3 linked regions of the Arabidopsis thaliana genome follow. The protein of the gene in region 2 binds, or shares a complex with, the protein of the main gene of each other region. Each region holds a gene or a part of one and is shown on either strand. Other genes may lie near its edges. The genes, in order: SUF4, AT2G30120 and FRL1.

What was found.
Region 1: AT2G30120 (region 2) and SUF4 share a complex: the UniProt entries of both Arabidopsis thaliana proteins name them as parts of the transcription activator complex.
Region 3: AT2G30120 (region 2) and FRL1 share a complex: the UniProt entries of both Arabidopsis thaliana proteins name them as parts of the transcription activator complex.

Annotation. Positions count from the first base shown.
Region 1 is NC_003070.9:11,042,102-11,045,855, forward strand, and holds the start of SUF4 (zinc finger (C2H2 type) family protein), read right to left. Parts: upstream 1,673-3,754; 5' UTR 1,493-1,672; coding exon 1,299-1,492; coding exon of another isoform or gene 1,295-1,298; intron 848-1,294; coding exon 747-847; intron 512-746; coding exon 382-511; intron 1-381. Other genes in the region: AT1G30972 (Plant thionin family protein), read left to right, coding at 2,570-2,809. UniProt on the Arabidopsis thaliana protein: Sequence-specific DNA binding factor that recognizes the 5'-CCAAATTTTAAGTTT-3' sequence. Recruits the FRI-C complex to the FLC promoter. Required for FRI-mediated FLC activation, but has no effect on the expression of MAF1, MAF2, MAF3, MAF5, UFC and CO.
Region 2 is NC_003071.7:12,860,187-12,863,940, forward strand, and holds the start of AT2G30120 (protein FLC EXPRESSOR), read right to left. Parts: upstream 1,786-3,754; 5' UTR 1,677-1,785; coding exon 1,150-1,676; coding exon of another isoform or gene 1,146-1,149; exon of another isoform or gene 1,033-1,145; coding exon of another isoform or gene 1,020-1,032; exon of another isoform or gene 1,015-1,019; coding exon 839-1,014; intron 753-838; coding exon 661-752; coding exon of another isoform or gene 643-660; exon of another isoform or gene 493-642; coding exon of another isoform or gene 421-492; exon of another isoform or gene 304-420; coding exon 214-303; 3' UTR 1-213. UniProt on the Arabidopsis thaliana protein: Transactivator required for FRIGIDA-mediated activation of FLC and for the expression of the repressors of flowering AGL27/MAF1 and AGL31/MAF2. Does not alter expression of known activators of FLC expression.
Region 3 is NC_003076.8:5,342,870-5,346,623, reverse strand, and holds FRL1 (FRIGIDA like 1), read right to left. Parts: upstream 2,130-3,754; 5' UTR 2,118-2,129; coding exon 705-2,117; 3' UTR 518-704; downstream 1-517. Other genes in the region: AT5G16330 (NC domain-containing protein-like protein), read left to right, coding at 1-461; UCH1 (Peptidase C12, ubiquitin carboxyl-terminal hydrolase 1), read left to right, coding at 2,471-2,501, 2,903-2,996, 3,086-3,188, 3,269-3,754. UniProt on the Arabidopsis thaliana protein: Required for FRI-mediated up-regulation of FLC transcripts, but not redundant with FRI and only partially redundant with FRL2. Required for the stabilization of the FRI-C complex.

The sequences.
Region 1 (3,754 bases), on a different chromosome or scaffold from region 2:
CTACAGGTGTTATTGTGGTCTTGAAGAGGAGCAAAAGAATGGTTCTAGGACAAAGTTCTATCCTGAAAAATCACGAGAACAAGCTAGGGAAACTAAGAACCTTATGGGTCATAGTTGGTTAAGTGCAACAATATCTTAGATAACGATCTATTTCAAAAAATGTTTACTACGGGTGTTATAGTGGTCTTATAGAAGAACAAAAGTAGAAAAGTTCTAGGACAGAGACAAACTAAAGAAACCAAGAACCTTTTGCATCAAGAGAACTAAAAGAAAAAAAGTTCCCCATCATTTAGCATGGATCGGATTTTTAAAAACAGAGACAACATCTAAGAATTCAACAAGTAACGGCCATAGAGAGAGTATAGTATAATTAGTACATACATTGGTCGTGCAGGTACAGCACCAGGTACTTGTTGAGGCGGATATACCATTCCATATGGTCTAGGAACTACACCACCAAGAGGGGCAGAAGGAATCTCAACTTTTGCAACTTTGGCTGGAGGCTCATCCTCTGCAGAAAACATGACTTCAGTTCAAAAGGTACCATATGAAACAAGCAAACATAACAATAATATATAATAACTTTGATAAGGCAAAAAGCCGCATGCAAAATCAAAACGAATTCATGACCACTAGATGCAATAGATCTACAACACTTGATGAAGAGACATACAAATTTATCGCCTTACTTCTCTAAATCAATTGCTCATAATCTAAACAGTACTCTCACTATCTCAAATGCATACCTTCTTCTCCATAATGAGCAGTCAAGACATGGGGTGGAATTCCTTGCATTCCATATATTTCAATATCAGTTGAATCTCGACCGTCTTTAGCATTAGGAACTCTGGTGTGAAAATTGTAGATAATTTCAAAGTTAGTAGTGTCATGGAATCAAATTCCAAATTCAACAGGCAAACACATTGAACAGTACCACAAATTCCAAGAAAAACCTATCAAGCAAAAGCAAAAGCAAAAGACTGTTTCTTTACAAAAATTGCAATCAGAAATTAGGGTTTATGACCAGACATATACAAATTAACCAAACCCATTCAAGAGATAATCCAAAAAAACGATTCAAATTCCAGCAAACATACACAATCAACCGATTCAAACCACAACACAACAGTCACAATTAGCGCAATCTAACAGAAATCAAACGACAATCACACACAACAAGAGCAAAAAAAAAATCAGAACTTGAACAAAGATCATAGAGGCAACAACCCTAATATTCCAAATCAACCTAACACAACAAAAAGAGCCATAGGGAAAGGGTAAAAAGAAAAGGCACATACTTTGTAACATTCTCTTTATGAACCTGAAGAACATGAATCACCATGCCACTAGCTGTAGAAAGCTTCTTATGACAGACATGACACTTAAAGTGCTTAGCTTTCTGATGCTGCACAAGAATCTTCTCATCATCAAACTCTCTATCGCAGTAATAACACCACACCTTCTCTGTAGCTCTCTTCTTCTTCTTACCCATCACTAAATCTTTCTCCTATTTGTTGATTTCAAGATTTGATCTCAAAATTGAAATCTCCAATCTCTCAAAAGTCTCGTTCTTTGTCTCCTTCCTCCGCTCGCTAGGGTTTCTAATTGGTACAAAGCGTTTTCTCGATTTCTTCTACGATCTTCAGATTCTCTGTTTTTTATTTATTTTTACTTTATCTAATGGTTACTATCTTGTATTTATAAGAAAAGGTACTTTCTTGTGTAATATTTCGTAAAGAACCCATAACTCTTGTTTAATTATATATTTTTCCAAAATGCTTAGTAAGTTATATAATGATACTATTAGTATTGGTTATGTTATCCGTTAGGATGGTCAAGTGGTCTAAGAGCAACCTCATTAGACAACTTTTTATAGATGTTTTTAGTATAAATAAATAATAAAATTAAAGACATTTCACTTTTGTTGTGTTTAAAGTGTCTCTACAGAAACACAAATCTCAAACTAAAAACATTCATAATTTTTTTATTATTATTATTTATAGTTTTATATTTAAAGACATCTACATATAAGTGACCAATGTGGATGCTCTAAGGCCTTAGACTCAAGTTTTGGTCCTCGTAAGAGGGTGTGGGTTCAAACCCCACTTCTGACATAATTTTTTATTCTTTCAAGAGTTAATTTTCTTTGTCCAATGAAATCTCAAATTAACTTAATCTCAAATTAACTTAAAATAAACTGTGAGAAAACAGAAGAAGATTAACCAACAAAGTAAGTAATCTCTCTTACAAAGAAACTTTGACCAGAAAAAAGGAATCCATGTAACAGATAAGAAGAAGAGACTATAAGAGCTAAGAATTACATAACTATTAGAAAAGATTATAAATAGAGAAAAAAACAGAAGAAGATTAACCAAAAAAGTAACTAGTCTCTATTACAAAGAAACTTTGACCAGGAAAAAAAAAGAAGAGCAATTCCTATAACAAATAAGAAGAAGAGACGATAAGAGCTAAGAATTAGATAACTATTAGAAAAGATTATAAATAGAGGATAGCTATTCATTATTTCTTAAGTACATGAAACACTTGCAACAACAAAAAAGTTAAAGATATGGGTGCTAAATGGAATTCAATGATTATAATGGTGTTTGTGGTGACAATGGTTATAGCAATGGAAAATGTCAATGGAGAGACGAAAGCTCAATGCCATGAAGATTGCATTCTAGGTTGTGCCACCACAGGAAGAATTCCGATCACGTGCCTTCAGAATTGTTACCGTCGATGTCCCGGCAAACCTCGTCGTACATTAGGTAACCATTTTTCAGAAGGTAAAAACAAACAAACAATCTAACAATTTTGGAAATATGTCAAAGAAAATCTATTTTAATGATTATTGAGATTTTTACTAACTATATAAAATATATTCCCCTTTGTATAAATAAATTTGAAGTAAGTTTGACTAGTGTAATAATAATAATAGATTAACAATGGAATGTTCAAATGATTGAACGGTATGCTAATGTTTCGAAAATGTGGTGAAAAATAAAATAGCAACATAACGTTTTGAAATAGTAAAATTTTGAGATATATTTCGGTAATAAAGTGTTTTAAATCTTAGAAACATCATTGTCACTGTTTAGGTATACATATAGTCCTGAAAATATTATTTTTTAAATTAAACTCAAGAGATTATTTGGAAAAACTAAAGGTTAAAATAATCGATGGTTCTAATTTGTATAGTGGAAGCGCAGAAATAGAAGAGACGATGAGTCATGAATCAGTGTTGGACTCTTGGGACTTTTAAACTAGCTCTTCTTCTACTTTTGTATCCTCCTTATGTAATATGATCATTGTAAATTTGTAACGCTATTAAATAAAATAAAATAAAATTTGTCCCATGTTATAAATTTCTCTTGACTGTAAACACGTCTCTGTTTAACAGTTTAAGACTCCTCTTAGATTCGAATCTCATATTTCATAATTTTGGAAGTGACATGTAGCGGCTTATTGATTTTCTTGATTCATATTTTTTATTTTAGTTATTTCAAAGTGTGATACCTTGTGGATAAAGCAAAATCCATATGACCATATTTACATGAGACAAAAGTGAAACCATCTATGTTCAGCTTCAAGAGAAAAACACTTTGTTTCAATTTATACATTTAAAATAAAACTGCCACTACTACGTTTCTCCTATTGAAGCAAAATTGGCTCTCACTTGTTTTGCCGTTTCTCTGTGCTTAAATCCGAAGCTTTTACATTTTTCTACAACTTGTGCAATGTTTGTTTAATTGTA
Region 2 (3,754 bases):
ACAAACTCTTGTCCTTGTTTGTTTATAGTTGGATGAGGTATGTAAATTAATGTAAACCTCAAAAATCGAACTGAGAATACAGAGTAGAAAAATTCTTCGAACTTCAATCAAATAAATTATTTGGTTGAATACACTCGCTAAATAAGATACACTAAAACAAAAATTGTCAAATCAAGTATATGGCTGGCCTATTCAAACGTAAGCAAGACACTATCACAACACACTAGAATGTTGAGTATTATTCAGAGGATGCTGCAATGGAGTAGATGGGTCTTGAGAGAGACAATCCGATGCTCTATATGCCTGAAGTGTATATTTGTGTGATGTTAAACACTACTAGAATCGAACAATGTTAAAGTAAAACCGCAATCTTATCATAAGCGTTGAATTCAGTCAATTATGAGTTTACAACAATTCTCACTAACCAACGGATACTTGTACAAGTTGGACACTTACTAACCTATGAACATAACTTTTTTCCCTGAGAACTAGCTATTTTGCTAAGATATCAGTTCAGAATGTAAGACAATCAGAACTTGGTATGCCAATCATTACAAACAATTAGTCCAATCTTCTCCTTCTCCATAATAATGCTAAATTAGGAGAACTTCTAACAGATGATCACGTAAAGTTACTACTTATCTATAGACTCATGTGTACCTCATGAGTACCATTAGCCTCCGGGTATTGCCGGCCTTGACCTCCATATATATCATCGGTGTTGTTTCCATAACTTGCAGCCAATCCAGGACCTTACATCAACAAATCATCAAAACTATAAGGTGGTTTTGCAGTTAAACTGTGTAAAGCAAAAAGCTAAAAAAGACAGAGAAATTACTTGGGGTTGGAGCTGCCTCAGCAGCTGCATTTGCTTCTCTAGCTTTAGTCTCCAGATCAACCAATTCTTCCTCAAGTTTTACAATCTCTCGATTCAAATGATCGATAGTCTTCTCCATACCGCGCTCATGGTGAAGGTTACTAGCTCGTGTCTTCTTCTCCAGCTCAAGAGCAGCCCTGTTTCATATCCCAAACCTCAAACAAATTCATTACTACTCCATAAGCATCCAAAAAACCATCATATGAGTATACACTACAAGATAACAAATCCAATGTTCCAACAAAAACAACAAAGAGAATTCAAATTTTCACCTTCCTTTACGAATCTCTCCTCGAAGAATCTCAATCTCCAATTTAACCTCAATAGCTCGATCCGAATTCGGTTTAGCCTTAGCCATCTCATCATCAAACATAGCCAATTCCGTAGCTAACTCCTGTCTATCACTACCTAACCTCTGTACATCAGACCTAACCTGACCAAGCTCAGCTCCAAGTCCATCAATCACACGAGCCTCCGCCTCCATTCTCAACGCATTCTGATAAACCTCACGCACTTTAGCTTCTCCTTCCGCTTTAACTTTAACAGCGGTTTCAAGTAACCGTTCGAGCTCACGCTTAGCTACATTGAGCTGGTCTTTGAGTCCGATGTGTGCTACAGCTAATCGTTGATTGTCGTTGAGAAGAGATTGGATTTCACGGTGTTGGATTGCGATTCGATCCTCGAGGATTACAGATCGAGCTCGATTTCGATCGGATTCGATTAATTGAGATTCTAATAATCTTGAAGATGATGAAGTTGAAACTGCTGATGATGGAATATAACGATCTCGTCCGGCCATAGTTTGCGATCTCCGATAATCTTCTCCGGTTTGTGAAAGTACTTCCCTAATTGAATTATGGTCGTTCTCTCTGTCAAAAGCTTTTTTATTCCGAGTTCGTTGTTAAAATAAGCCGTACCATCAAAAGCTAAACTGCGCAGCGCAAAAAAAAAAAAAAAAAAAAAACGTTATGAGCCCAAACTACAGTTATGATATGCTTGATTAAGCCCACTTGGACCAAACTAAGCCCAAATCAGAAAATTTGAGGCCGATTCAGACGTTGAAGGAATAAATTACTAGATACCTAGAGAAAGTATGTGCATCTTAAACCTTACCAAAAAAAAAAAAAAAGTATGTGCATCTTAAAAATATTCATATTAGTTTAAATATTCAAAATCTATTTACTTTTAATTAAACAAAATTTAAATATAAATTATGTGTTTATAAATAAGAGTTTGAATTTAGATTTTACAATTAAACGAGATTAATTACATTTTTGTTTAAATTTTGTATAGAAAGATTAGAATTTAAATTTTACAATTAAATAAAATTATATGTCAAATTATAAATAGCACCAATGACATTAGTTCAGTATTTTTTTAGATTGAAATGATTCAATTGGTAAAGAAAATATTTGTAGAGTACTCCAAGATAACACATATCTAATGGTAACCTATTTATATACAAACCGGAATAAATGAAAAAATTAGTCTTCTTTAACATTCTTAAATATATAATCATATTCATATGGAAAACAAAAAGTAATCGTAAATTTGATTATGAAACTATATAGTCTAAGTTGGAAATTCTAATAAATAGTTTATTTTTGAAAAAAAGAAAAACAAAATCCTATACAATCTAATTTTGTATCGCCAAATATTACATTTATTAGTGTTTTTTCTAACGATATACAAGTTTTTACTGACAGAAAGTGATAATCAATGATATGCTAATTGATATCGAAGGTAGAGTTAAAACTGTAAAATAAGAAAAGACGAGGCGGCAAGAGCTAGAGTCCAAGTCTACGGATTAGCACGAAGCTCTGATGTTTCAGATTGCTTCTTTTTGTTTCTTACAGAATCTTACAGACTTATTAAATTCCGACATAAACAGAAACTCATTTCTTTCACTCATTCAACTAAAGTTTAAGCAAAAACCAAACCCTCAGGTCTTTAAAGTTTTTTTTTTTTTTTGTCCCAACTCTTCAACACAAAAGAGACTTCAATAAATTTTAACTGAACTCAGTCAAACATTGCTTCTTGTCTCCTCCCCCACCGTTTCCAAAGATTTTATTTTTTTCTTTGGGTAAGAAAATAAAATAGAAACAAAAGAGCAAATACCGAGAACCGAATCTTCCATGTCATCTCAAAGCATTTAATGATGTGCATCGAGTCTCACATGCTTATTTTTCTCCGAGGTGCCCAAAGATGTCTGTTCTCTCTTCTTCTTCTTTTTTTGTCTTCTAAAATTTTGATTAAATGTTTAGTTTAGAGAATTATTTAGTTCTTCTTTCTTTTGAATGATTCTAAAATACATTAGCAAGAAGAACCACTTCCCAATGTGACAGTTCTAATTCTAAAATATATCCCTCCATTAACACCTAAACTATTTATTCTTCCTCTAGAGTGGTCCTATTAACTGAGTCATTTTCTTTTCTATAATTCCTTTTAGTACTAATTAACTATATAGGGATTTAATGATCCTAAGCTCAAATTATATTTCCACTCGGACTTTGCATAGTTACAAATTTTGTGGGGTTTTTCTGTTACAAAAATGAAGAAGAAATACCGAGTTAGCTTTTTTTAAAAAAATTTAGCTTTCTGTTTTCCTTATATTTACTAATTCTAATAAAAAGCAAAATAATATCCAAGTCTTGACACTTCTAATCTTACCGTAAAAACATAGAGTAAAAGTTAGAAATAAAACACTGAAAATTAGTTATAAAAAAAATCATCAATTGACGATGTTGGTAGATATATCGAAATTTGGTCATTCAACTATTTAAAAATTCATTAGAAAAAATATGCTGATCATAAATATTAAATTGTAGTTCTTTTTTATATAATCATTTATTTTGTTGATTAGTAAATTTAAACTTA
Region 3 (3,754 bases), on a different chromosome or scaffold from region 2:
ATCTCGAAGGTGTAATCTCTTCTTGCCTTGACTGCTTTCTCGCCGGAGGAAACATCTATCTTTTCGAGTACAGTGTCTCTCCAGCTGCATTTATCGCCAAACCTCGACGCGGCACATGCACTATAGCACCTTCGGATCCCTGCGATGAAGTCATTTCCCGCGCCAAATACCTCTTATTGCGGAATGGGTTTGGTGATTACCATGCTTTGGAAAACAATTGTGAAGATTTTGCAATATATTGTAAAACAAGCTTGCTGGTCGGAAAAGACTATGTGTTGGGAAGGGGCGGTCAAGCCAGCTCAGTGAGTGCAGCTGCGTGGCTTGCGCAACTTAGTCCTTTCGGCAGCAAAGCTATTCAGCTATTTGCAGATATTGGTATGAGAAAGGATGCTATTAAGGTGCCCGTCGAGAGCCTCGTTCCTCGCGCATATGCTACTGGTACCTCTAGAAATAGAAGGTGATGAGGTTTGAAGACACGCCAACGGGCGGGTAGGCGAATTCTTCGAAGAATCTATAATGTAGGAAACATGATCCAATATTGTAGAAAAATTCACTACTATTCTATATAAACCAAAAAAACAAAGAATGAGATTCCTCAGACATAGAGTTAGAATGATTTTTTTACTTTCCATCAAGGCAAATATTCTACAAAGATAACATTTTACATTGAGGAGATTAAGATCTTATTGTCGAGATGCAGCTAGCTACTGAGAATAATAAGGCGGGTGGTATTGAGGCGGCAACACATATCCAGTTTGCTGAGCATAGTAAAGAGATTGAGGAGTTGCACCTGAACCAAAGAGCCCAGTTAATGGGTTCACAACAACACCAGAAAATGCTGAGGTCATAAGACCATAAGGGTTCAACTGTAAGCCATGATGACTATGCTCAGGCATAAGAAGAGCTTCTGGTCTAGAAAGTAGCTGCTGACTCGGAACTGGAACTTGTGACCCATTTTTGCAGTCTCTAGTCCGCTTTTTCCCCTTTTGCTGTGGCTCTTGCTTGGGAGGATTAGTCGTGTTGCGTTTCCTCAATGCCTTATTTTTCTCCAGCTCTTCTACACGTTCCTCAACTTTCTCCTGAGTAAACTCTGATTCAAGGTTCTGATCTTTGATGATTTTGATCAATGGTTTCAAGGCACTGACTTCTTTATCAGAGGCTTCGTTCTGCGACTTGAGAGAGTAGTTATCTTCCACGCAAACTCTAAGAGCAGCTTCTCTACAGTCCTTAATGTAAGATTTCAAAACAGGGATTGGCTCAAATTCATCAGTCATCCCACACTCATACATGAATTTGACTGCTAAAATTGGTTTACCAGAATCCAAGAGAGTCTTGATGAGTTTCCCAACTCTTTTCCTATCTACACCAATCTTGTTACAAACCAAAGTTGCTTGCTTATACTTAGCGATCATGAAAACGTAATCAGAAAGCTCCTCTGTGTCAAATTCTGATCCTAATTCAAAAGCTGCGACCAAATGCAGAAACACTAACGCCTCGAAAGGCTTGACACCAACCTTAGATTTCCAATGGTAAGCCAGTTTCTTAGCTCTATTTCTCGTATCAACAGTGATATTCGCATTGATCTCAATCAAAACTTCCATTAACAAAACGAAAACTCTCCTTACATCGAATGATCTTCCCGATGATGACGGTGTGTAGTTCGAACCTTCAATCGCGTCAAGCACCATGGACGCCGTATCCGGAGAGTAACGAATCGCTGCAGAAACTTCCTGATTGAGAGGAGTTTCATCATCCCATATCCTAATCAAATACTTAATCAAACCAATTCCGTCAATCTTCTCACACAAGGCTCTCAACTCCGGCTCAACAACGGGTTGCTCCGATACCTCCTCCGAAGACGACGATTTCCCTGCATCAGAAGCGTCGATTCTATACGAATCATGTTCCAAAGGAGATGTAGAGTGGAGGAGGCGGAAACGGCTAGCAAGGGAGGATTGGAGAGAGGAAAAGTGAGAATCGATCTCAGACCAGGAAAGTGAGAAAGACGGTGAAAGGAGAGAGCGATGAGCTTGAAGATCGTCGAAAGCTTTCTTTAGCTTTTCCTTCTTCTCATCAATCTGATTTATCGCGGTGGCGATAGTCTCACTCGCCGTCATTGTTTGATCTCTAAGATTTCTTTGGCTCTCTCCGGCAAGGATATATAAGAACGTTATCGGTTCGGTTCGGTTCGAGTAAGTTTAATAAAACCAGAACCGAATTGTTTTTCACTTGATTTGGTTCGATTTATAGAAATTGAAATGGTTTGGATGAATTCAATTTCGTTTCTACTCGGTTTAGAGCGACCTCTATTAAGACAAAATCGAGACCACACCAGTCTATAGTCTCTCTTTCGAGTCTGCAGCTAGCGTGAAGACGATGAAATCGATGGGAGGAGATAGATAAGCGCGAATTTGAGAGTGAAAATTCTAAATTCAGACCCATTTTCACCGGCGCGAGTCATCGTTGAACCATGTCTTGGCTTCCTGTAGAATCTGATCCTGGTATATATTCTCTTTAACAATTTGGGGTTCCTGTTTTCTGGATATATAAAGAGATGATGTCAGTAACGAGGTTTTGATAGTGGAGCACTAAAAATGTTTGGAAAATAGTCTTGGCTTCCTGTAGAATCTGATTTATGTTTGGATTTTGTCAAATTAGAAGCCAACAAATGTTGAAAATAGTCTTCTCTGCATCTACAAGAGGTGATACTTACTGTGTGAGGATTGGAAAATAAAAGTATTGATGCTTTTTGAAATTATATATCAACAATGGTGTTTGTCTTATACTAAGTGGATTAGTGTCTCTCGATAGCCATTGTGCCATATATGTGAGTAAGACCAATGTCGCTTTCTTGTTTGTTATTTCTTCATATTTTTTGGTTTTCTGTATTCTATATTTTTAGGTATTTTCACTGAGATTATACAACAAATGCAAGTGAAAGGTGTGCAGGTTGAGGAATTGTATTCCTTGGACTTCAACTCTCTGGATGAAATAAGGTAGTTTACTTGTTACTCTTTCATCTTCTATTGTTCGAAACAGAAGAAAAACAAAGTCAAATTTACCTTGAGTTGTCTGATATTTGCAGACCTGTCTATGGATTGATATTGCTTTACAAGTGGCGTCCAGAAGAAAAGGAGAATCGTGTTGTCATCACAGAGCCAAACCCGAATTTCTTCTTTGCAAGCCAGGTCTTTTACTCTCACATTAGATTTGTGACTCACGGATTTTCCAATCATTACCTTTTTTATAAACTATGTGTTTCTTGCAGATAATCAACAATGCTTGTGCGACCCAAGCGATATTATCAGTCCTCATGAACTCTTCGAGTATTGATATTGGCTCAGAACTATCAGAACTGAAACAATTCGCCAAAGAATTTCCTCCTGAACTGAAAGGTTTAGCCATCAACAACAATGAGGCAATACGTGCAGCTCACAACACATTTGCCAGGCCTGACCCGTCTTCCATCATGGAAGATGAAGAATTAGCTGCTGCGAAAAATCTAGACGAAGATGATGATGTGTATCATTACATCAGCTACTTACCTGTTGATGGTATCTTATATGAGCTCGATGGTCTTAAAGAAGGACCCATTAGTCTTGGACAGTGTCTGGGTGAGCCAGAAGGAATCGAGTGGCTCAGAATGGTCCAACCTGTGGTACAAGAGCAGATTGACCGGTATTCGCAGAATGAGATTCGGTTTAGTCTCTTAGCTGTAGTTAAGAACAGGAAAGAGATGTATGTAGCTGAACTG